7 linked regions of the Xenopus tropicalis genome follow. The protein of the gene in region 3 interacts with the protein of the main gene of each other region in a pairwise test. Links are inferred from orthologs where the notes say so. Each region holds a gene or a part of one and is shown on either strand. Other genes may lie near its edges.

Region 1 (2,203 bases), on a different chromosome or scaffold from region 3:
ACCACACAAACAATCAGGTAGTAGGTAGGAAGGTTTTGCTACAACAAAAGGTTAAACTTATGTATGTATGTGGATTTTTTTTTACCCACAGCTATAATACAAACTCACTAATCATGTTACTAAATCATGTAGAGGAAACAACCCTGCAACTGCTGGCAGGGCAGTGCCATGTCAGGACTCCTTGCTACCATCAGGCAGCCAAGTCAGTGCTGCCCTCCAACCTTGCAGTCAGCACCTAAGGTTGGAGATCTTCTATGACTTCTAGCATAATACAAAAGCAGCCACCTGGGTTCAATAGCTTCCCCATAAAACCCTTTTTGGGAACCTGAAAATCATGTTATAAAGGTTGTGTTGAACTGATGCTGAACTATTTTTGAAATAACATCATCCAAGTGCATCTAATTAATGCAACTACTGTCCTACTACTGTGTGCATGTGTAGGTTACTGCTCACTAGCAGCACATCAAAAAGCTTAATGATCCTGCATCATTTTTACAATTAAAGGTTTACACTTTTATTACAATTTTGTATTAAAAAAACCACATAAAACATATTCAACTTTAATCATTTGTATTAATGTTCATAATTGTAATCATAGCTTATCAAATAAGACTCTTAATTCCAGCTGAAAGAGGCTTTGACCTTCAATGGACCCATTCTTAATATGTGGTAACTGTAAATGAGTGACAGTGGAAAGTGGATGGAGAAAGTGATGCCAAAACTTGCAGCATCTCTTCTTATGTTTCTGTTAATCCCGTACCAATGTTTGTAAGACCCTGGCATGGATAAAGACATGGAAATGGTCCCCAATTCATGCAGGAAGTACTGCTTCAGTAAGTATCAAAGATATCCTTGGTTGTATTTTATCTGGACACATCAGGCTGAATGTGGTTGATACCTAAATGTGTGCAATGGATGCAAACTCCTTCTGCAGAAAATGCTACTGTAAACACATAGACACACTTCTTCCCATTGTTTCTCTGCTCCAAAGAAAGGGAAAATGGCTTCACTGGGACAGTGCTAAGAATGTTTTGCCCAGGAAACACTGCTGTACATCCAACATTTAAGTGGTGCATTCTGCATACTGTTTCATTGCCAGTGAAGGGAATGTTATTGAGCACAATTGGAATGCAACCAGTGCATAACATCTTGTAAACCAGTGCCATCTAGTGAGCTTGTTTGCAGGACTGAAATTTGTTGCTTAGCACAAGAAATGATGTCATCCATTCTAAACAGTGACTTTATTTCCACCAATGACATATAGCATGGCAGGTCTCTACAGGGAACAAAAATGGAACTTATTAACTACATGCTTAGTCATAGTCTAAGAATAATAAGTCAATAAGAAAGAAGGCATAAAAACTTACATCTTATTAAAAAGAATCAGCACTGAAGCAGACACCAAAGGCTCCGCAGACAGCACGGCCAGAAGCTGGATACATGATGCAGACACTTGGTTTGGGTTAGCAGCATCAACCATAAACTAAAATAACATGAAAATCACAATATATGAATAAAACAGAATACATTAATTCAGTGGTATTCAGATGAAGCCCTTCAAAAATTAGTGGCACCTAAAGGATACTGAAATTCAGACCAGGCCAGAGGCCCCCCCTTTAGATTAGAGGAATGGAGCTTCCATTTGAAGCAGCATAGGTGGTTTTTCACGGTGAAAGTAGTGAGGTTGGGGAATGCCCTTCCTAGTGATGTTGTAATGGCAGATTATGTTAATGCCTTTAAGAGGGGCCTGGATGAGTTCTTGAACAAGCATAGTATCCAAGGCTATTGTGATACTAATATCTACAGTTAGTATTGATGTTGGTATATATGGTGTATGTATGTGAGTGGATAGATAGGTCAGTATGGGTCTGTATGTGAGTGGATAGATAGGTCAGTATGGGTCTGTATGTGAGTGGATAGATAGGTCAGTATGGGTCTGTATGTGAGTGGATAGATAGGTCAGTATGGGTCTGTATGTGAGTGGATAGATAGGTCAGTGTGGGTCTGTATGTGAGTGGATAGATAGGTCAGTGTGGGTCTGTATGTGAGTGTATAGATAGGTCAGTATGGGTCTGTATGTGAGTGGATAGATAGGTCAGTATGGGTCTGTATGTGAGTGGATAGATAGGTCAGTGTGGGTCTGTATGTGAGTGGATAGATAGGTCAGTATGGGTCTGTATGTGAGTGGATAGATAGGTCAGTG
Region 2 (2,451 bases), on a different chromosome or scaffold from region 3:
TGGTTGCACACTTGGGTTAGGCCACACAATAGCAAGCGATATAGCCTAACTGGCTTTTTTGACATGGAGTACTTAGTACTTTCCCATTTGCCCAGCAGGACAAATCTCTCTACTTGACATGCATGTGCTGCCCCCTCTCTCCTTCCTTCAAGGCACTATCTTTCACTGGAATTTTTAGGAATAAAGCCCAACGTCACCACGAACTAAAGCAGCAATGAGCTAGTAACAGGTTCTACTAAAGGTGAGGGAAATTCTTTGATATCTTTTCCTGGCAGCTTATTCTTCATTGTACAAAACAACAGGGAAAGGGACTGAAACTGTGCTCTGCCGAGCCTCCACTTTTTGCTTATCGAATGGAAAGTTCATGAGAGTATGTTAGCAATTCTACTCAAAGATGACAATGACACTTTCAGGGTTTGTCTAATAAAGGTGCATAGTCTGCTACAAGTTAAAAGATGGCCATACACAGTAAAATCTGCTTGTGTGGAAGGTCGACTAACAAGCGGATCTTCTCCTGATATGGCCACCTAAGGTGGGTGATATGTGGCTACTTTGATTGTTTGGCCCTAGTGCCAAACCACTGAATCAAAATTATATAAAAGTATTTGGCCCATTGGACCAAATCAACGAGACCACATGGTCCCCAAATCTGACAGGAATATCAAACCTGCCTGATCAAGATCTGGCCAATTTTAGGCCAGATATTGGATTGGTAGGCCCATCTGAAGAACCCGAATCGGCAGCTGAAATTTGCCCTTGTACAGCCACCTTTAGTCATCAATAAATGAGATCTTAGGTAAAAGAAAAAAAAAACTATTAAAGTGCAATCTTACCTTCCACATGTTCCTGATAGGCTTCAAATATTGCCTCAATTCCCTGCCACTTAGGCCTGGGTGGCTCCTCTTCTTCCTCCTCATCAGTTGTTTCTTCCTCAGAGCTTGTTGCTTGCTGTGTTTGCACGCGCCCTACTGCTGACTGTCCTGACACTTGCTGGCCATTCTGATGTAGTGCTGTTGGCCGGCTGGAGTGTTGCAGCTCAGGAATGTTATAATGAACAGATGCATCGGGTTTGTGGTTCTGTTCTGCACAGTGCATAGCTGAAACTCCTGCAAACCCAGAATAAAAATAAGGTTTATACTACTGCACAAGTCTCACTCAAGAAGACAGTACCAAACATTTAATCTAAACTATATCCATGCAGGGCTGTATTTAGGTCTGGTGCCACCCTAGGTACCAGGTTTCAGAAGTGACATAATGCACACTGAAATGATTTCACTCTCCTGCCTACAGTCGCCCTGGGCCAAATCAGGCTGAAACGATTGTTTGGCCTCTAGGCTAGCAACTAAATCTGGGCCTAAACTGCATCAATGTGCTTATCAGGGGCGCTTCTGCCATTAGGCGAGTTGAGAAACTCGTCTCAGGCGGCAGAAGCGCCCCAGTTACCAGGGGCGGCAAAAAGCCGCTCCTGGTAACTTTAAGAGCCGAATTTCCGTTTTTTAATTGTGCTCTCTGCACTAGTGATCTCACCGCCCCCGGACCCGCTCCTGCGCTCAGAAGGTAAGCACTGGGGAGCGGGGGCGGCATCCCGGAGACGCCTCAGGTGGCGATATGTCCAGAATCGCCCCTGATGCTTATGTAGTCCTTACTTAGAGCAGTTTGAAAATCCCAATAATTTTCGTCTAGAAGTCAGTAGGGCAGATTGATGGGGGGGCTCCATACTTGTGCCAATAAGCTGCTGACTCGGTCTGGAATGGCTGACTTAATACACAGTAAAAATTCAAGCAATGTAGTCTAGACTGACACATACAGATCAGGCCCAAATAAATCCCACTCTGCTTTTCAGCCTGCATTAAACTTCTACTTCTGAAGCCCACAACGCATAACAACACATAACTTAAATTAAAATAGATCAAATCTGCTCTTACCTTTGTGCTTCTGCAGGGCTTTCTGAGTGGACTGTAATACAGACTCATGAAATTGGTGAGCAAACTCCTCAGCTATAAATGGCCCCCAAGACTTGGTTCTTCCATTCACACTCTGAGGTGGTGATACAGTGCTCTCTTTGGGCGGGTGCCCCCGTACAAAGTTCAAGATACTAAGACTCCGTTTTCCAGGCATAACCTCACTTTGCTTTGTCTTCTCTGTGGCTGATGTGCCTGAAGCAGTAGATGGGGCAGCAATAGGCAGAGGAGGGACCTTAATGGGATCCAAAGGCTTAGGCTGATCTGATCGACAGGCCTCTGGAAGTTTTACTGGCTCTGGTAGTGGGACTGTGCCTGATGTGGAAGGAAGAGATGGTGGCCTTTCACACTCTACAGAAGCTTGCGATGCCACCTGTTCTTCAGAAACTGCGGCTGAAAGAATATGACAAGACTTATTTAAATATTAACTTGTTGTAAACAGCACAAAACTAAAAGAAAAAAGATAAACATACAGCATTATGCTATGACT
Region 3 (3,500 bases):
TTCCCCTGCACCTCCTCGTGCTGCAATCTGTCCATCAGCTGAGCCTGCAGCAGATACTGCCTCTGGATCTCCTCTTTCTCAATGGAGACTTGCTGATATGCTGCACTGTACTGCTGGAGGTGAGCGGAGACCTCATCTCGCTGACTCTGCAGAATCTGTATGTCCTGCTCCTTTGCAGCCAGCTGGTCAAGAAAGGACACACAGAGAGCAAATTGGTATCACTATGTACAGCCCAATGAAACAGCATTTATAGATACTGCATCCATTGCTGACCTGCTCTTTGAAATCGCCCAGGGTCTCCTGTAATTGCCCCAGCTTCTTGGCCAGCTCCTTTTTCACATGCTGCTCACTCTGTAATGCATTGGTGAGCTCCATGTTTTCATTTGTCTGAAAGAATTACAGAATAGTAAGTGGATCAGTCATAGTCAATATATTGACATACCAGGGTTATATATGGAAGGTCCAAAGCAAACACCTAAAGCGGAACTCTGGCTTCTGTACCAAAATGTTTTAAAGAGCCCCACACAACACTGAAACCCCTAATATACCTATCACTGTAACCTATATAAATAAATACCATTTTTATATGCTGAAATCCAGATGCAAACAGTTCCTATTTCTGCATCATTTAAAATCCTGCCAGGAAAGGGGGGACTAAAACATTGATGTCACAAATTGTAACAACTTCTCCACAACTTACAGACAGCATGCAGGTACTACATAACCCACAATGCATTGCACTGTGATGTTCATTTCCTTATTGATGTTATGTATGCAGGTTATAACTAAATGGACCTGACCTGTCCCCCAGCCCCTTAATGGGGTAGTTCACCTTTAAATAAACTTTTAGTTTGATGATGTAGATATTGATATTCTGCAATTGGTCTTGATTTTGTATGGTTTTTTTGGCTATTTAACTTGTTAAATAGTTACCAGCAGCTTTCCAGTTCAGTGAATATCTGGTTGTTAGGGTGTTATTTACCCTAGCAACCAGGTAAGGCCTCATAAATAGACAAGGAATAAAAAGTCACAATAACAATAAAACTGTAGCCTCACAGAGCTATAGTTTTTAACTGCCGAGGTCAGTGGCCCCTATTTGAAAGAATATAGTAAATAAATAACGAAAAATGCAGTGTTGCTAGGAATAGGACATTCTATCACATACTAAAAGTTTACTCAAAGGTGAACCACTCCTTTAAAACCAATAAGGCTGATGCAGCTGTTCTGTCCAACTTTAGACTCCGGGTTCAGACTTGAGAGAAAAAAAAGGACAAGAATGAGAAGCAGCTGCTCTCCATGAGCAGCTCTGCTACATCTTATAGCTTCCTTAAGATGCAATTCAGACAGAAGAGACGATAAGAGCTCATATAGGGAGACATGCCTACCAGTTTGACAAATCCATTCTGGAGCTCGGCCAAATGTTCCTTCAGTTGCCTGTTCTGGGTCAGTGCCCGGCTAATGGTGGCTTTATCGCTCTGCATGTTTTCCAGGATCTGCTGCTTGTCTACGTTTTCTTCACTCTGGCGTTGTAACGTCTTCTCCAGTTCCAGTAGCCGCTCTTCCTGTTCCTGGTTCAGCCGGCTCAGCTGACTGTTGTCTTGCACCTGGGCCTGATACCTTGCCTGCAGATCACTAAAATTCTGCTGTAGCTGATCCACCTCTTGGTGGAGGGCCAGTTCAGTTTCAGAGGGTCCGGCAGGGGGTGTGGGCTCAGTGTCTGTTGGTTCAGCAGCTGAAATAGCAAAGCAGTGGATTAAGGCAAAGGAACATGTGAAGCAGAGCATCACCAAGCTGGTGTGGGACTATATTCATTGTGAAGACATCTTTGTTTCCTTCCATGCACATACCTGATGCCAGCAGGAGCTCTGTCACCCTGGTCTCCAACTGTTCTACCTGTACCTGAGCTGTCTGTTTCTCTTGGCCCAAGGTCTGGATCTGGAAATGAGAGAATAGCATTCTAACTGCAGCTTCAGATTCCATATATTAAAATTACTTACATTTCTACATAGAGGAGTTTATTACTTAAAAAGGTAGATTGTATTTTTGTGGGGTTCCCACATTTTTTTTTAAAATTCTGGGGTTGCAGGTTTTTCCCCTCTTTTACAGAGCTAATGGTCTTCCCGCCCAAACCTGGCCCTCCTCCTCCTTTCACCATTGCTATTGATGGCATGACCATCAACCCTGTAAATTCTGCACGCTGCCTTGGGGTTATCTTTGACCAGTCACTCTCCTTCTCTAACCATATAAATAACACTGCCAAAACCTGCCGTTTTTTCCTCCGCAATATTGCCAAGATACCAGGGCTGTGGAGTCGAAGGCAATTTTGGGTACCTTGAGTCGGGAGTCGGCAAAAAATGAACCGACTCCTACTAAATTTAAATGGGAATTAAAAAAAAATAAAATAAAGCAAGTTTAAATGTCCCAATTCAGAAACAGTCATAATTAATTACTTCTCTGCTATAAGAATAAAGCCCAATGCACGCAGTGCATAAACGAACACGTTGAGTGACACGTTGAGTTAGTTTTAACTTAAAACTACCAAAGAATGTGGTTTGTTTTGAACTGGTAAAGTTGCTGTTCCTGATTTTTATGCCAGCTATTACTATCCAGCCACGTGTTTAAAAAAAAAAATAAACAAAACCTTGTTGTTTTCATTGTGTTTGTCTTTTGCTTTAATTGGGCAATACAGTAGAGTGTTGGCTTCCTAGCCAGTAGTTCTGTGGTTAAATGACATGTATGTCTCCTTCCTTTCCTTCAATGAATGTATAAAATACATTAGCATATTAAAAACAGAGGAGTCGGAGTCGGAAGTATCAGAAACTGAGGAGTCGGAGTCAAAGTCAGAGAATTTATCTACCGACTCCACAGCCCTGCAAGATACGCCCCTTTCTTTCACAAGTAACAGCTAAAACACTAATACATGCCCTTATCCTTTCCCACTTAGATTACTGCAATATCCTACTAACCGGCCTCCCAGACTCCCACCTCTCTACCCTGCAATCAATTTTAAACTCTGCTGCCAGGATCCTCCTGCTCTATCCGAAGAGGGAACCTGTTCAGCCTCACTTAAGCTCTCTAGCATGGCTGCTTGTTAAACAAAGGATAGCTTACAAAATCCTTCTACTAACATTCAAAGACCTTCACTCCTCTGCTCCTCACAACATTTCTTCACTGGTCTCCCTGCATGTTCCTGGTCGTCTCCTCCGGTCCTCTCAGAGCCTCCGTCTTTTTACACCATCCACATCCACTGCGCTCTCTCGTCTTAAACCTTTCTAGCTCGCTGCTCCTTACCTCTGGAACTCTATCCCTGAATCCCTCCGTAGGGAACACTCACCCACTCTCTTTAAGAAAAAACTCAGCTGTTACCTTCTGGAGCACTAAAACATTATTTTTTATACCTGGTGCACTCTTACCTTCCAGTTTGTGCCTGTATGTTACCCAACCACTTAGATTGTAAGCTCTACGGGGCACTTGTTTATTGTATTTATTTATTATATCAC
Region 4 (2,980 bases), on a different chromosome or scaffold from region 3:
AAAGCAGATGCATCCCACGCACTCCCTATTCCCTAACTTGTGATTCTAAGTGACAGAAAGTGCCAAGCAGGTAAAGTCTGTACCTGGGCCGGGTACTTACTGCCCTATGGCAGCTAGTAAAGACAGGGCTGCTCTGCTCCTGCCCATGCTTTGCATTTAACTAATTTTTTGTATTCCACGCATAAATGGCTTTTGATTTTTACTTTTTTGTAGAAGAAGTATATGTGAACCAGGCAACTTAGAGTTGCTGGGCTATTGGTAATTGCTTTTAATAATAAAACTTTAATAATAATTCCTTATAATATCAGTGTCCTTGATTACACTGGAATCTACCCAGATGTGACTTACCGAAAGCAATCTGTACAGTGGTACAAAAACAATGCACGCCGTTTCTAATATCCTTCCTATGGTGTTCAGTGCAAGACATATGGTATTGACGCACTCTATAAAGCAGTCTTTTAATATTATCAAAGCCGCCACTAGCAGGAAAAAATGTTCAAATATTCTCTCAGCATTTATTAAGGATTGCTTCATTCCATTGTACACATATTAAAACAAATGAGTACATCCATACAATATAATTGTGTAACATGGCACAGTGAAATTAATTCAAAGCCCTAGTACAGCATTTGTTGGTGAACTCAGGGGAGATGGTATCATGAGAATATTTTCTTGCTGGGTTAGGGTATACAAAAAGAGCTTGAGTGAACTCTGTGTAGCAAACATGGCCATTCATCACAATTAGTTGTGGCAAACAGCTTTAGAACTTTCTGCTTATTAATAGAGAGTAGTGATGGGCGAAAAGTTTCGCCAGGCATGGATTCGCGGCGAATTTCCGCGTTTCGCCATTGGCGGATTGTTTCGCGAAACGGATGAAAAATTTCGCCGCGGAAAAATTCGCCGCACGTCCAAAAATTGTTGCGGCGTCAAAAAAGAATAGTCGCGGGCGACGAAACAAGAGCCGCGCGACGAAACAAGAGCCGCGGGCGACGAAACAAGAGCCGCGCGACGAAACAAGAGCCGCGGGCGACGAAACAAGAGCCGCGCGACGAAACAAGAGCCGCGCGACAAAACAAGAGCCGCGCGCGACAAAATAATAGCCGCGGGCGACAATTTTTTTTGTCGCACGACATTTTCGCCGCTTCGCGAATTTTTCGCCGTTTCGCGGATCTTTTCAAAGATTCGCTAATTTTTCGGCGAAGCGAAACGGAACAGATTCGCTCATCACTAATAGAGAGCACTTTTCACACTCAGTGCAATCATTCTCAGGTTTGCTCTGTGTGGCACCAAGCCTGTGTTATCTACGAGTGGTATTTTTCATTACTGCAATAAACATTACTGCTGTGAAACTACTCGCTGAATGCCCAATAGTATGTACAGATAAACACAAATTTTTTATTAACAAGAACTCCAGTGGCATCAGCAGCCTAGCAAGAAATAGCAGTTACTTAGTATAACAACACACTGAAATACAGATTCCCACAAGCTGTTTTTTTTCTGTCCTTATAGTCGGCACTTGCTGCATTTCATTGCATAGTCATATCTTATATTGCACACAGTTAATAGGAGCAGGTTATGGATTTCTTTTATCAAATGTTAAGAGATGTCGCAACACAATTTAGATATTACTGAATATTCACTTTGCATGTTGCCGAGTCTGTTGGAGCAATATGGTTTTACCACCATATCGGAATGAATAAAAGCAATTTGATGGTATGCCTGCCTTCAGGCTTCGAAAAACTTCATTTAAAAAAAGAAAAACTGAGTTAAAAATTTTAAAAAGAACGGTGTAACTGTTATCCTTTGGAAAGCTTGACAATAACCAGTGTTCACCAATGAGTAAATGATGACTATTTGTTGTTAAGTTAGGCAGCAACCAGCAGCAAATGTAAGCATACAGTGTTGCCTCGAACTTTGATCCTTTCCATCAATAAGAAGAAGTGGTGTTTTATGAAAGTAGTCAATAATTTCCTCCACTGAAGTAAAGGTCTGCAAAAAACAGGGAATTTTGTTAACGATTAGCAAATTACAGAAAATCACCAGAAAAAATGGTGTAAAATCAGGGAAATGCATTATACCTTATATATTGGTGGGACCCCAAGACAGCAGCGTGGAATTATGGAAAATTTAACCAACCAGCTTTAGTGTTTTTAGAATATAGTGCGCATTCAATGAAAAGTTCAAGATATTGCATCATTTCATTGTAATTTTTGAAACTCTAACTGGGGATGATAAAGAGCCCTTCCCTGTATCACCTTGACACTTGAATTTCCATGCGCTATATCTCCATTCCCCTACTTTATGCACACTGCAATAAAGGAGCCACAGAGCTGAGGCTTAACTACCTTATGGGCGACTAACAGAAACTTTCCATCAGTTCCAATAATCCTTGATGTTTGGGCAGTATGGTGGAAAATGGCCAAACTGCCCTACCGAGTATCTATGGTCAGCGTTACACTACAAAATGTAGTGTAATGGAAATTTTTACAAATTTCAACAAATGGGGGGTTAAGAACCTTTAACTGATTAAGACTAGGATCTCGGCACAATGAGGGCTGCCAGCACATGATGATATTTTTTTTTTCTGCCATTTTCTTATAATTTACATTAACTTCATACAGAATTAAACATAGCTTAATGGACTGCTAAATTATGATTATTTTTGACTATATATATTTGAGGCCCCCATTTCTGTTTCCTTGTAACTGGAAATGCAGTGAAGCACTCTGAAAGCAGAAGTTAGCATTCATGATCCACATAGATCGCATTGCAATAAAACCAAAAATGAGAGACTTTAATCCACAAATTGTTCCTTTAAGTTCTTGTGGCCAACAACAATGCATAGTCAAACTCCAGAGAAATTAGAAGAATAGTTAACGCTAAACTAGTACTTCACGAATTGATAATAAAAATAAAAGGGTTTTGTTTAGAAAGCATTTGTTTCATTGAGGCAGCAAAATCAAAAAACAACATTGATATG
Region 5 (3,500 bases), on a different chromosome or scaffold from region 3:
TGAATTGCATGCAAAGTGCGAAGAACAGGAGCGGGCAAGATGGCTGAGCAGTGTCCCTCCCCAACGCCGCGGAAGCCGGTAAGAGGGATCTTGGCACTGCCTTATAATAAACAGTGTTTCCCTAAAACCAGTTATAACATGAGGCTCGTGAGTTAATCACATGGGTATATAGTTGAGTATCCATGTAGTATGACTGCCGTATGTGCCTGATGCCACGCCTGTACCAACAAATATCTCTCGTGCATGTGCCACATTCCATGGTTGTGTTTTGTGCTGGTTTGGTTGCCATAGTTACTTGCATGACATGAGTGTCGCTCTCCATGCTTGGAGCGAGCAATAAAGCTCTAAAAAGGTCACAGGCAAGTGAGCAAGCGTTCCCTTACTGCATTTCTGCACTCCCACAGGCAGCTGTCTGCAACAGGCAGTGTTCCGCGGGATGTTCCCTGCAGTAGATAGAATGTGGAACACTGCAATCTGCCTGACTCTTCCTATTTCCCAAGGATCCGAGTCCATGTACAGCTGCACCATCTGCTGGTGGCAGGAGGAATTGCAGGAATTTATTTGGCCTTTAGAGAGGGAAGGATCTGGTAACATCTAAAGCTTCATAGTGAGGATGATTTTGTTCAGGGCTCCCTGTGCTACTCCCCAGAGCTGCAACCTCCTTCAATTCAGTCTTTTATTCTATTGCCATATTGCTAAGTTGCCTCTTTCCTTTTATTGCTGTAGCAGCATATTGTGCCCTGGCCTGTGATTCCAAATATATAACTTTTACATTTTTCTTTCCCTTTAATTGAAACTAAACATTCCTTGTACTCACCATTGTATTCTTCTTCCCCTCTCAGGACTCACAGAACATCCGAAAGCTCGGTCACCCCTTCCGCTGGTACTCGTCCCCTTACACCCCAACCCTCCTCCCCTGACACAGGCAGTTGGCAAGCCATCCCCGATTTCTCCCCCCTCAGCCCAGATGTTCTCTCTGCTCCTCCCACCCCGACCTCCCGAGAGACCTCACGTCTGCTCTCTGAAGAGACCCAGAGCTCCATTTCTGACTCCGGACGCGAGGAGCTGGTGAGTCACGTGGTTCTTACACCTGACTGGGGGGGTTTAATGGAAAAGTTTAGAGGATTTATTTTGTTGGCGTTGTTCCTTCTGTCTTTCTGTTGGTTATTTCCTAAGCATTTTCCAGCCGGTCCTTTAATGGGGTGGCCCACCTTTAATTTAACTTTTAGTATGTTATAGAATGGCAAAAAAATACAAATAATAAAAAATGAAGACAAATTGCAAATTGTCTCAAAAGATGAACAACCCCTTTAAACCACAGGGTTAGTGGCCCTAGCAACCTGATAGCCGTTGCATACTGGAGAAATGCACAAAGGCCAAGTAGCACCAAACAGTGGTATATTAGTATTTCTAGCTGATATATCTGTACTGATTTACATCTCTTTTGCAGGCCGTTCAGCCCTGGGAACGGAGAAACTTCCCCCTTTCATACAGTCCCAAACGGGAACTCACAGGACCTTGTGAGCCCACAGACTGGGGAGGAGCTCGCCCGCCGCGCCGCCCTTCCTGCAGCTCTAAAACTGCCAAAGACCCAGAGGATCCCCCGTCCTCTCCCCCCTGCCCTGTCTCAAGGCCACGACCGCTCCACAGATAGGGAGGTGAGGAGAGCGATGCCCCTGATCAGAGACGATTTGGCTCCAAAAGAAAAAAATAAATAAAAAATCCAACTGTTTGATATTCAAACTTGATCCCCAGAAGTGTGCGCCATTTTCACAATTTTTAGTGAATTGAAGGACTTTAGGGGAGAATTTTCTTTTCTTTATTTTTGTTGTTTTGTTGCGGGAGGGGGACATGGTAACTGCTCTTTCCTTCTCTGGGTGCGGCTTCTGCAAAAGGCAGGCAGTCTGCAAAGCTGATCATATTGACACTTTTTCTGTTCCTATTGGCTGAGAGACCACCCATTAGCGCATTACTGCATTCCCACAAGCTTGTGTGCCGAAATGTTCGTTTAGGCCCCAGCGACCCCCTCCATCCCTGCAGTATAAAGCACTTAGTGTTCAGTGGGGAAACAGGACTTGTTTACAGATCTCCCCAATCAGAAACCTTAAGCTGGCCATGCACAGGCCAATAAAAGCTGACAATTTGATCCAGCAGATCAAGTCAGCAGATTATTGGCCCATGTATGAGGTCTCCTGACTGCCTGCCAGCAGTTAATCCATCTAATGGGAAAGTGGCTGAAAGGATTCTCTCAATGAGATCCTTTCCAGATAGGTCTATTGGGATTTGACCTGGTGAGTGGATGACCAAATTGGGCAAAGACCCACTTGACTTCTCTAACTACACAGATTTGGCCAACATAAGATTGCTGCCTATTAACCAGAATCTGGTTTCTGATTGGCTGGAAATCCTTTTTTTACAGTTGGTTCCCCAATCTGCTGATGTTATGCCCCATAATGTGTGGGAATAATGAAACCGTAAGGGCAGCAGGCTGGTGTTCTGGCCCTTTATTCGAAGCAGAGCTGTTGCAACCCCAAACCTAACTTCTTGCACTGTGTTTAAATGTGAGTGAGTGAGCAGTTACTGAGGATAAACGAACCCCTTCCTACTTGTCCTTGTTATACCCCCTGCCCCAGGTTTAAACTTGTTGTTCTTCAGTTCCAAGTTCTACTCATTTTAAGTCTTTAACCTGCTTTTCCCGTAATTCCTTTATTTTTCTTTTACTCTCTGTGCCAGTCAAAGGCTCTGTGGCACTTAATGGGTTAACACATTTTAAATCTCCCCCCCCCCCCCCCCCCCCCCACCCAATCTTTAAGCATTAATAAATGGCTTTAGTTCTCCGATGAGAATATACATTGAAACCAAGGGGAGAACTTTTAGCTTTGTATAAAGGAGATCATTAAAGAATTGTATTTTGTAAATAACTTTTTATTAGCTTTTCTGCCTATTTTGTTTGGGTTTTTTTTTTTTTCTTGACAGCATAAAGATGGCGGAATGGGCGCCATCCACTGGGTTGTATCTGCGGAAGAGGAGAAAAAAAAGTTAATGCATTTTGTTGTTGTTTTCAGGGTAATCTTTTCTTTGTTTAATGTCTATCCTGTTGCAAAAAAATAAGCACTGGGCAAAGTGCTGGAGAAAAAGACAAAAAAGGGAGAAAAAAAACAAAAAAAAAACAAAAAAAAAAAAACTGAAATAATAAACCAGTTAAACACTGTCCCTTGTCTGGCCTGTCATTGCTTACTTTCTATTGGTTAACTGCTCCTAGTGTGTTCCATAAGGGATTGGAAGTGTATCACTCATATATTATAAGGGATAATGTACCCCCTACTGTAAATGATAAGGATATTAGAAGTCACTGAGGGGTTCTGTGCCCATATAAAGGCACAAGGCTGCAGGCTGAGTTATACAGGGAACTCGGAGTATCACTCATGTATTATAGGGGATAATGTACCCCCTACTGTAAATGATAAGGATATTAGAAGTCACTGAGGGGTTCTGTGACC
Region 6 (2,603 bases), on a different chromosome or scaffold from region 3:
GTCATCCAAATCTACGTTACTATATAAAAATAATACATATTTCATAGCAGTGCTTCTTTATCTAAACTTACCTCTCCCAAAGCTGCCCAGATCCCCTCCAGCCTTAGCTGAGCTGCAGTCACTGAACCGAGAAGCAAGAGATTCAAAATCCTCATCCCCCGATTTTATCTTCTGGATGTAGCCTGGAAAACATGAATAACACTAAAACCACTGAAGATGTCTAATATAATGTATATTGGCTACGTGCGTAGAACTGCATTTTCTGTTTGCTGGATCTCCTTAAGTGGCAAATGTTTAATATGACACTGTGCCTCTGGCTTTGAATTACATAAATGCTGGAGGAAACATATTGAGGAAAGTTGCCACTCTGTACTGACCGCAGCCTCTTTTCACTTCATATCTACGAAGGGGTTGCGTTTGGCTTGGTGCAAACAGACCTGCAGCATGGCCAATGGATCCAATGCCGACTGCTTTAGTCAGAGTAGGATTCAAGAGAGGTGGGTGGGGAGGCACGCAGGAGCCCCCACACCCTACCTGCCCTTACTGTGCACATCATTCACATGCGTAAGTTAGGACAAGGCTAAGGAAGAGTAATAGGAGACAAATTATAGAACAGTAAATAATAAAAGTAACAGTAGTATTGTGGCCTCACAGAGCAGTGATCCTATCTGAATGCTGGAAATAATTCAAAATCTATAACAAAATATATCATTGCTGGGCAGAGACCACAGGCTCTGTTTGCTCTGGGCAAAGTAGAGATATTCTGTGCAATGGGCATTCCCACACCCTGGAGCAGTGCTGTCCAACTGGCGGCCCGCGACCCCCCTCTGTGTGGCCCCCCACCTGTCTGGCTGCTTTGATGGCTTACTCTTGTGTAAGCTTTAAATGGTATCAGTACTGAGATTAAATGGCCCCCTGCATGGTTCTCACCTCAGATTCAGGCTGTAATCCCTCTGTATTGTTTAAATATGTAATTCCCTGTATTGTTCACACCTTTTAATCTCTGCATTGTTCACCCCCTGCAGTGTTCACACCTCAGGCTCAGGCTGTAATCACCCATATTGTTCCCCTGTTCACACCTCCGGAGCAGTAGAAACCCACAAATAATCCCTGCACACTACAAAAAGAACATATACTGAGGTGGTACTGCAATTAAAAAGTTTTTTAATATATAGTTATTGTGCAGACTGTAGGAGCAGTGCCAGCATTGTGTCACTGTAGGCTGCCTGTGTGTGCCATACACACAGGCATCATAGGGCAAGCAGAGTATGGCACACACAGGCAGGGTAGGGAAGGCAGAGTATGGCACACACAGGCAGGGTAGGGAAGGCAGAGTATGGCACACACAGGCCAAGTATGGCACAAACCAGCCAAGAATGGCAAACACAGTGAAAGTATGGCACACACAGGCAGGGTAGGGCAGGCAGAGTATGGCACACACAGGCCAAGTATGGCACAAACCAGCCAAGTATGGCACACAGGCAGGGTAGGGAAGGCAGAGTATGGCGCACACACAGGCAGGGTAGGGAAGGCAGAGTATGGCACACACAGGCAGGGTAGGGAAGGCAGAGTATGGCACACACAGGCAGGGTAGGACAGGCAGAGTATGGCAGGTTTTTGCTGTACTACAACCATTAATATGGGTATGGTCATGTGATAACGTGGGTGTGGTTTCAAGTGGGTGCGGTTTCAAAAAGGGGAGTGGTCAAACTGGCTTCCATTATCGGCCCTCCACCGCGTAGGTCGGAAAAATTCCAGCCCTCGGTACAACAGAAGTTGGACAGCACTGCCCTGGAGAGAAGAGGTAAACTGCAATCACTGGTGTTATACCTACCTGGCACTAATTTTAGCTTGACTTATCCTTTAATTTACCATGTTACCCCTGAGCAGGCTTGGCGCGGCCTTATGCTCAGTACACTAGGGCTAGTGTGCCCAATCTCACAGAAGGAATTCCTGGGCAGGGCACTCACCAACCAAGTACCCAGGCCAGTATGGTTTTTTTTTTAAATTAAAGACAAAAGTAGCATATGCCTAACAAACTGGCACCCAAGGTTTTCTTTTTTTCTTTTAATATGAAATACTTTCAGGGCCCATGCCCTTCCTCCATAATGAACACCTGTACCCAAATGAACTATAACTCATCCTCCCTTGGATTAACGCCTTGAAATTCCCATGGTTTCTTGATTTAGCGTATGCAGACCAAATGCAGGAATTCAGGAACTACAGGGCGGGGAGTGCCAGAGTAACATAAAGCCACATTTATATAAAGGCAATATCCAGCTACCCTGTACAAAGTGTAGAGGAGAGAGTGGGACAGAATCACTCCAGTACAGTGGCCCAAGATGGTAAATACCATCTGCTGCTCTCCCTAAAGACTTACAAGCCCTAATTATGACATAGAGCACAGTCACACTAATACAGAAGCCCCTTCCTTACCCACCATTAATGTGCTCCAGTGCCTCGTCCTTGGTGCGAGTGATCCTGTCCTGCCTCCATGATGAAGGACGCCTTGACTGATTGTGCTTCACGAGTAGGTGAGAGCATCTCACTTTTCCTGGCTCCCCCTGGCCATTTTTCCCACCAGTAGTGGGCCTTTCCCATTG
Region 7 (3,235 bases), about 59 Mb from region 3:
TCTGAAGGGCCTGAATCAGCCTATGTATGGCTTAAGACTGCAATGGAAAAATCGTCTGGTCTTTTTACATCAAAAAGGAAAAATCGTCTGGTCTTTTTACATCAAAAAACAAACAGTTACAGCAAACTGAAGCCAAACTAAATCCGAATTAACATATGCTAATTAGGTTACGGAAATTTCCAACTTCAGTGTTTATATGACAAAAAGTCACGTGATTTTTAGGATTCGGTTTGGCCAGGAAAATGGCCATTATATAATTACACATCAGAGAATATAGTCTTTTTGTGCCTACTGAATTGGCTTTCATTTTTTTTTTTTAAATATTCTCTAACTGATCATATCCCTTGGACACTATTAGCCACAAAACTGTTACAAGTGAATACCCCTTCCCACTTCTATCCTGAGATATTCAATTCACATGTAATTTCACACTATATAGGTATACCAGAAACAAAGCTCTCAGGGTTTTACTAAATATCAATAAACCGATTAACTAAATCTGCAGTTTAACAGTTTATTTTTCATTGTGCAGTTTAATGAGCCCTTCTATTGGATGGTTTGCAGTTTATGAATCTGAATATAAATTAAAGGAGAAGGTGTGATTGCACAGTTTGGGAGCAGGGCCCTGTGTGTGCAACCAAAAGTTTACACACAAAACTATGTCCTTGTACTTTAGAAATAGTACCAACTGAGGCAAAACCCAAAGACGAAAATCCAAGCTGGAAACTTATTTCAGCCACAGAATCAACTTGCACTGAATGATAAGTACCATGCTTTTTCTGCTTCAGGGTCTTATTTTCATATAATCCAGGCTCGTTTTTCCACATTGTCTCTGCAGGCAAGTTCATTTTTTGCCAATGAAACATAATTTGCTTATACTTTGTTCTTAAGAGACGGAATACTTGTAATCCCACAAAGACCAACAAAAATGCTTGTAATGAACAAAAGTCGTCTAAATAAATGGGTTCAGTTCAACAAAATGGACACATCCTCTTCATATGACTGTCTTTCCGATCCCACAGAAAGCAGATGGGAATGTTGCAGAGTCTCTTGCACAGTGTGTGTACAGTGGGATGAGGTACTTTGGTCTGTAGAACAACAAAACCATGAACATAAACAGTTAAAATCCTTGGATCATTGTCACTTTATGGCCTCCAACAGGCCTAATAAAGCACATGTCTAGGCATCTTTCAGTAGCCCCTCTGGAGTCCACCAGAACATTCATATTCCCAGTGTGGGCTGTTACAGGTATAGCATGTTGTCATATATGAAACAATATTCACTGAATGGTCAATAAGAAATAACCCTTAAAGGACATGTAATCCCCACACACAAAAATTTAATCAGTGAACAGCCTCTTTGAAATATTTCAATACCTGCCACACTGGTTGTCCAGATGCTAATAGTAAGGCTACAACATCCCTTAATCACTTAGATTTCCTTCTCCTCCTGTAACCCACTCAGCCCCATCCCTCAGGAATTTGCTTTGGCTGTTGGCTTGTGGGCATGCTCAGTTGTTCTCAGCTCAGATTACCAAACGCCCTCCAGTCTAGCAGTCAGTAAAGAGATGGCATTGATGGTTCCCATAGAAACTCAGCTCTAGCTGTCTGCTTCAATTTTTTTCTCCTAACTTCCTCTCCTGAGCTCAGCTCAAACAAAGCAGAACTTTTATCAGACAGTTCAGCCTGTGTGAGCCTGTATTCTTGATGAAAAATATGCTGAATAAGGGTCTGTGAGTGTGTGTGTGTATGCTGTTTGAGATTTAAATGTATCTAATGTATCAGAGGAAAAACGGCAGGGGGATATATGCAGTACAAATAATGCCATTAAGGCGGGGGAGATATTTCCTATATTGTATTAAATAGATCAGTACCTTTTATATTTTTCACTGTTTAATAATAGTAATACAATGCTTGTATTTGATTTAAACCATAGTACCTTTAATTTATCATGGAACTCATAATTTCTTTAACACGTTTCAACTAAAATGTGAGATCAGAAGTGATACGATATTTGTTATTAGAGAGTTATAAAGCACAAAGTGATGTCTACCCTAAAATACACCACTCATTCTGCTGTTCATTGGTGGAACGCTACACAAAAAAAATACTAAGTTCCCTAATTTCTGCCACAATAGCAGCAATGCAATCAGATACAAATTAGATGCCATATTCTTATCCTTGATTTATACTGCCTGTTTAAAACCTTTCCCTACAGTAATACTCGGATGGCTAAAAATAATAAAAAAGGACAAGCCCTGTTTTCAACGCATCCACTTACCATCAATGCTCCTCGAGTGATGTTTTCTTAGATGGGCATTTCTGCTCCCACTCTGAGAGAAAGTTTTACCACACACAGGGCACTGATGAGATTTTACCCCTGAAAAACAAGATTAAGATCTTAAACACAAGAATCAATGCTGCAATACTGGATGCTAAAGAAAATAAATTAAGGTACCTGAATGGACAACCTGGTGTTTCCGAAGACTTGAATATTCTGCAAAAGAGCGTCCACACCCCTCCATCTCACAGAGAAATGGTTTCTCTCCTGCAGAAACATATGTGCAGGGGTTAAAAAAAATATTTCCTTATATCTATTCCAGGTCTGTAGAAACAGGCACACACACCAGTATGGATACGGAGGTGATTCTTCAGGTTCCCTGCTGTGGTGAACTGTTTCCCGCAGCCTGGCTCTGAACAAAGGAAAGGCTTTTCCCCATTGTGAGTGCGCATGTGAACTTTCAGTCTTTGTAAGACATAGAATCTCTTCCCACAACCTTCTGACGGGCAAGCAAAAGAACGGTCATTTCTAAAAATTAAAAAAGAAGCACAAGCAAAGTTGGATACATTTCTTTTAACAGCCATAACATAATCACTGGCAAATATAACCACCAGTACATGGTAGTGCAATGGTAAACACTGCTGCCTTGCCTGTAGTACTGGGTTCAGTGTCAGGAAGGGCACTATCTACTAGGATTTTGTATGTTCTCCCTGTGCTTGCATGAGTTTCTAATAAAATTGTCCATAATGTGTGTAAAGTTGATGGGTACCTTGGACTGTAAGTACCACTGGGGCAGAGACTACAGAGATTATATATCATTCATTTTAAAGTATGCAGGCTACACAGGCAATACATGAATAATTCATAATAATTAGAATAATAACCAGCCCTTTGGCTGCCCGGTGTGGGTATGGAGATACAAGAAAAACAATTCAACTGGTCCATCTCACTCGCT

What was found.
Region 1: the proteins of golga2 (region 3) and arl16 interact in binary tests that used the Homo sapiens proteins (3 or more experiments, as listed by UniProt). The two-hybrid records come from large-scale screens. The link is inferred for Xenopus tropicalis from reciprocal best matches to the Homo sapiens genes GOLGA2 and ARL16.
Region 2: the proteins of golga2 (region 3) and gse1 interact in binary tests that used the Homo sapiens proteins (3 or more experiments, as listed by UniProt). The link is inferred for Xenopus tropicalis from reciprocal best matches to the Homo sapiens genes GOLGA2 and GSE1.
Region 4: the proteins of golga2 (region 3) and lcp2 interact in binary tests that used the Homo sapiens proteins (3 or more experiments, as listed by UniProt). The two-hybrid records come from large-scale screens. The link is inferred for Xenopus tropicalis from reciprocal best matches to the Homo sapiens genes GOLGA2 and LCP2.
Region 5: the proteins of golga2 (region 3) and kansl1 interact in binary tests that used the Homo sapiens proteins (3 or more experiments, as listed by UniProt). The two-hybrid records come from large-scale screens. The link is inferred for Xenopus tropicalis from reciprocal best matches to the Homo sapiens genes GOLGA2 and KANSL1.
Region 6: the proteins of golga2 (region 3) and pin1 interact in binary tests that used the Homo sapiens proteins (3 or more experiments, as listed by UniProt). The two-hybrid records come from large-scale screens. The link is inferred for Xenopus tropicalis from reciprocal best matches to the Homo sapiens genes GOLGA2 and PIN1.
Region 7: the proteins of golga2 (region 3) and znf410 interact in binary tests that used the Homo sapiens proteins (3 or more experiments, as listed by UniProt). The two-hybrid records come from large-scale screens. The link is inferred for Xenopus tropicalis from reciprocal best matches to the Homo sapiens genes GOLGA2 and ZNF410.

Annotation. Positions count from the first base shown.
Region 1 is NC_030686.2:27,583,082-27,585,284, forward strand, and holds the end of arl16 (ADP-ribosylation factor-like protein 16), read right to left. Parts: intron 1,484-2,203; coding exon 1,368-1,483; intron 1,277-1,367; coding exon 1,111-1,276; 3' UTR 501-1,110; downstream 1-500. UniProt on the Homo sapiens protein: May suppress the RNA sensing activity of RIGI in a GTP-dependent.
Region 2 is NC_030680.2:64,864,865-64,867,315, forward strand, and holds part of gse1 (genetic suppressor element 1), read right to left. Parts: intron 2,355-2,451; coding exon 1,926-2,354; intron 1,107-1,925; coding exon 834-1,106; intron 1-833.
Region 3 is NC_030684.2:22,913,211-22,916,710, forward strand, and holds part of golga2 (golgin subfamily A member 2), read right to left. Parts: intron 1,936-3,500; coding exon 1,848-1,935; intron 1,733-1,847; coding exon 1,386-1,732; intron 388-1,385; coding exon 274-387; intron 183-273; coding exon 1-182. UniProt on the Homo sapiens protein: Peripheral membrane component of the cis-Golgi stack that acts as a membrane skeleton that maintains the structure of the Golgi apparatus, and as a vesicle thether that facilitates vesicle fusion to the Golgi membrane.
Region 4 is NC_030679.2:32,356,212-32,359,191, reverse strand, and holds the end of lcp2 (lymphocyte cytosolic protein 2), read right to left. Parts: intron 1,990-2,980; coding exon 1,861-1,989; 3' UTR 1,239-1,860; exon of another isoform or gene 789-1,238; 3' UTR 501-788; downstream 1-500. UniProt on the Homo sapiens protein: Adapter protein primarily involved in signaling pathways within T-cells, as well as other immune cells such as platelets, mast cells, and natural killer (NK) cells.
Region 5 is NC_030686.2:17,267,763-17,271,262, reverse strand, and holds the end of kansl1 (KAT8 regulatory NSL complex subunit 1), read left to right. Parts: coding exon 1-78; intron 79-842; coding exon 843-1,068; intron 1,069-1,450; coding exon 1,451-1,654; 3' UTR 1,655-3,159; downstream 3,160-3,500. UniProt on the Homo sapiens protein: Non-catalytic component of the NSL histone acetyltransferase complex, a multiprotein complex that mediates histone H4 acetylation at 'Lys-5'- and 'Lys-8' (H4K5ac and H4K8ac) at transcription start sites and promotes transcription initiation.
Region 6 is NC_030679.2:136,777,622-136,780,224, forward strand, and holds part of pin1 (peptidyl-prolyl cis-trans isomerase NIMA-interacting 1), read right to left. Parts: coding exon 2,441-2,603; intron 183-2,440; coding exon 72-182; intron 1-71. UniProt on the Homo sapiens protein: Peptidyl-prolyl cis/trans isomerase (PPIase) that binds to and isomerizes specific phosphorylated Ser/Thr-Pro (pSer/Thr-Pro) motifs.
Region 7 is NC_030684.2:81,888,314-81,891,548, reverse strand, and holds the end of znf410 (zinc finger protein 410), read right to left. Parts: intron 2,809-3,235; coding exon 2,627-2,808; intron 2,548-2,626; coding exon 2,458-2,547; intron 2,380-2,457; coding exon 2,281-2,379; intron 1,089-2,280; coding exon 967-1,088; 3' UTR 501-966; downstream 1-500. UniProt on the Homo sapiens protein: Transcription factor that binds to the sequence motif 5'-CATCCCATAATA-3', and is specifically required to silence expression of fetal hemoglobin in adult erythroid cells.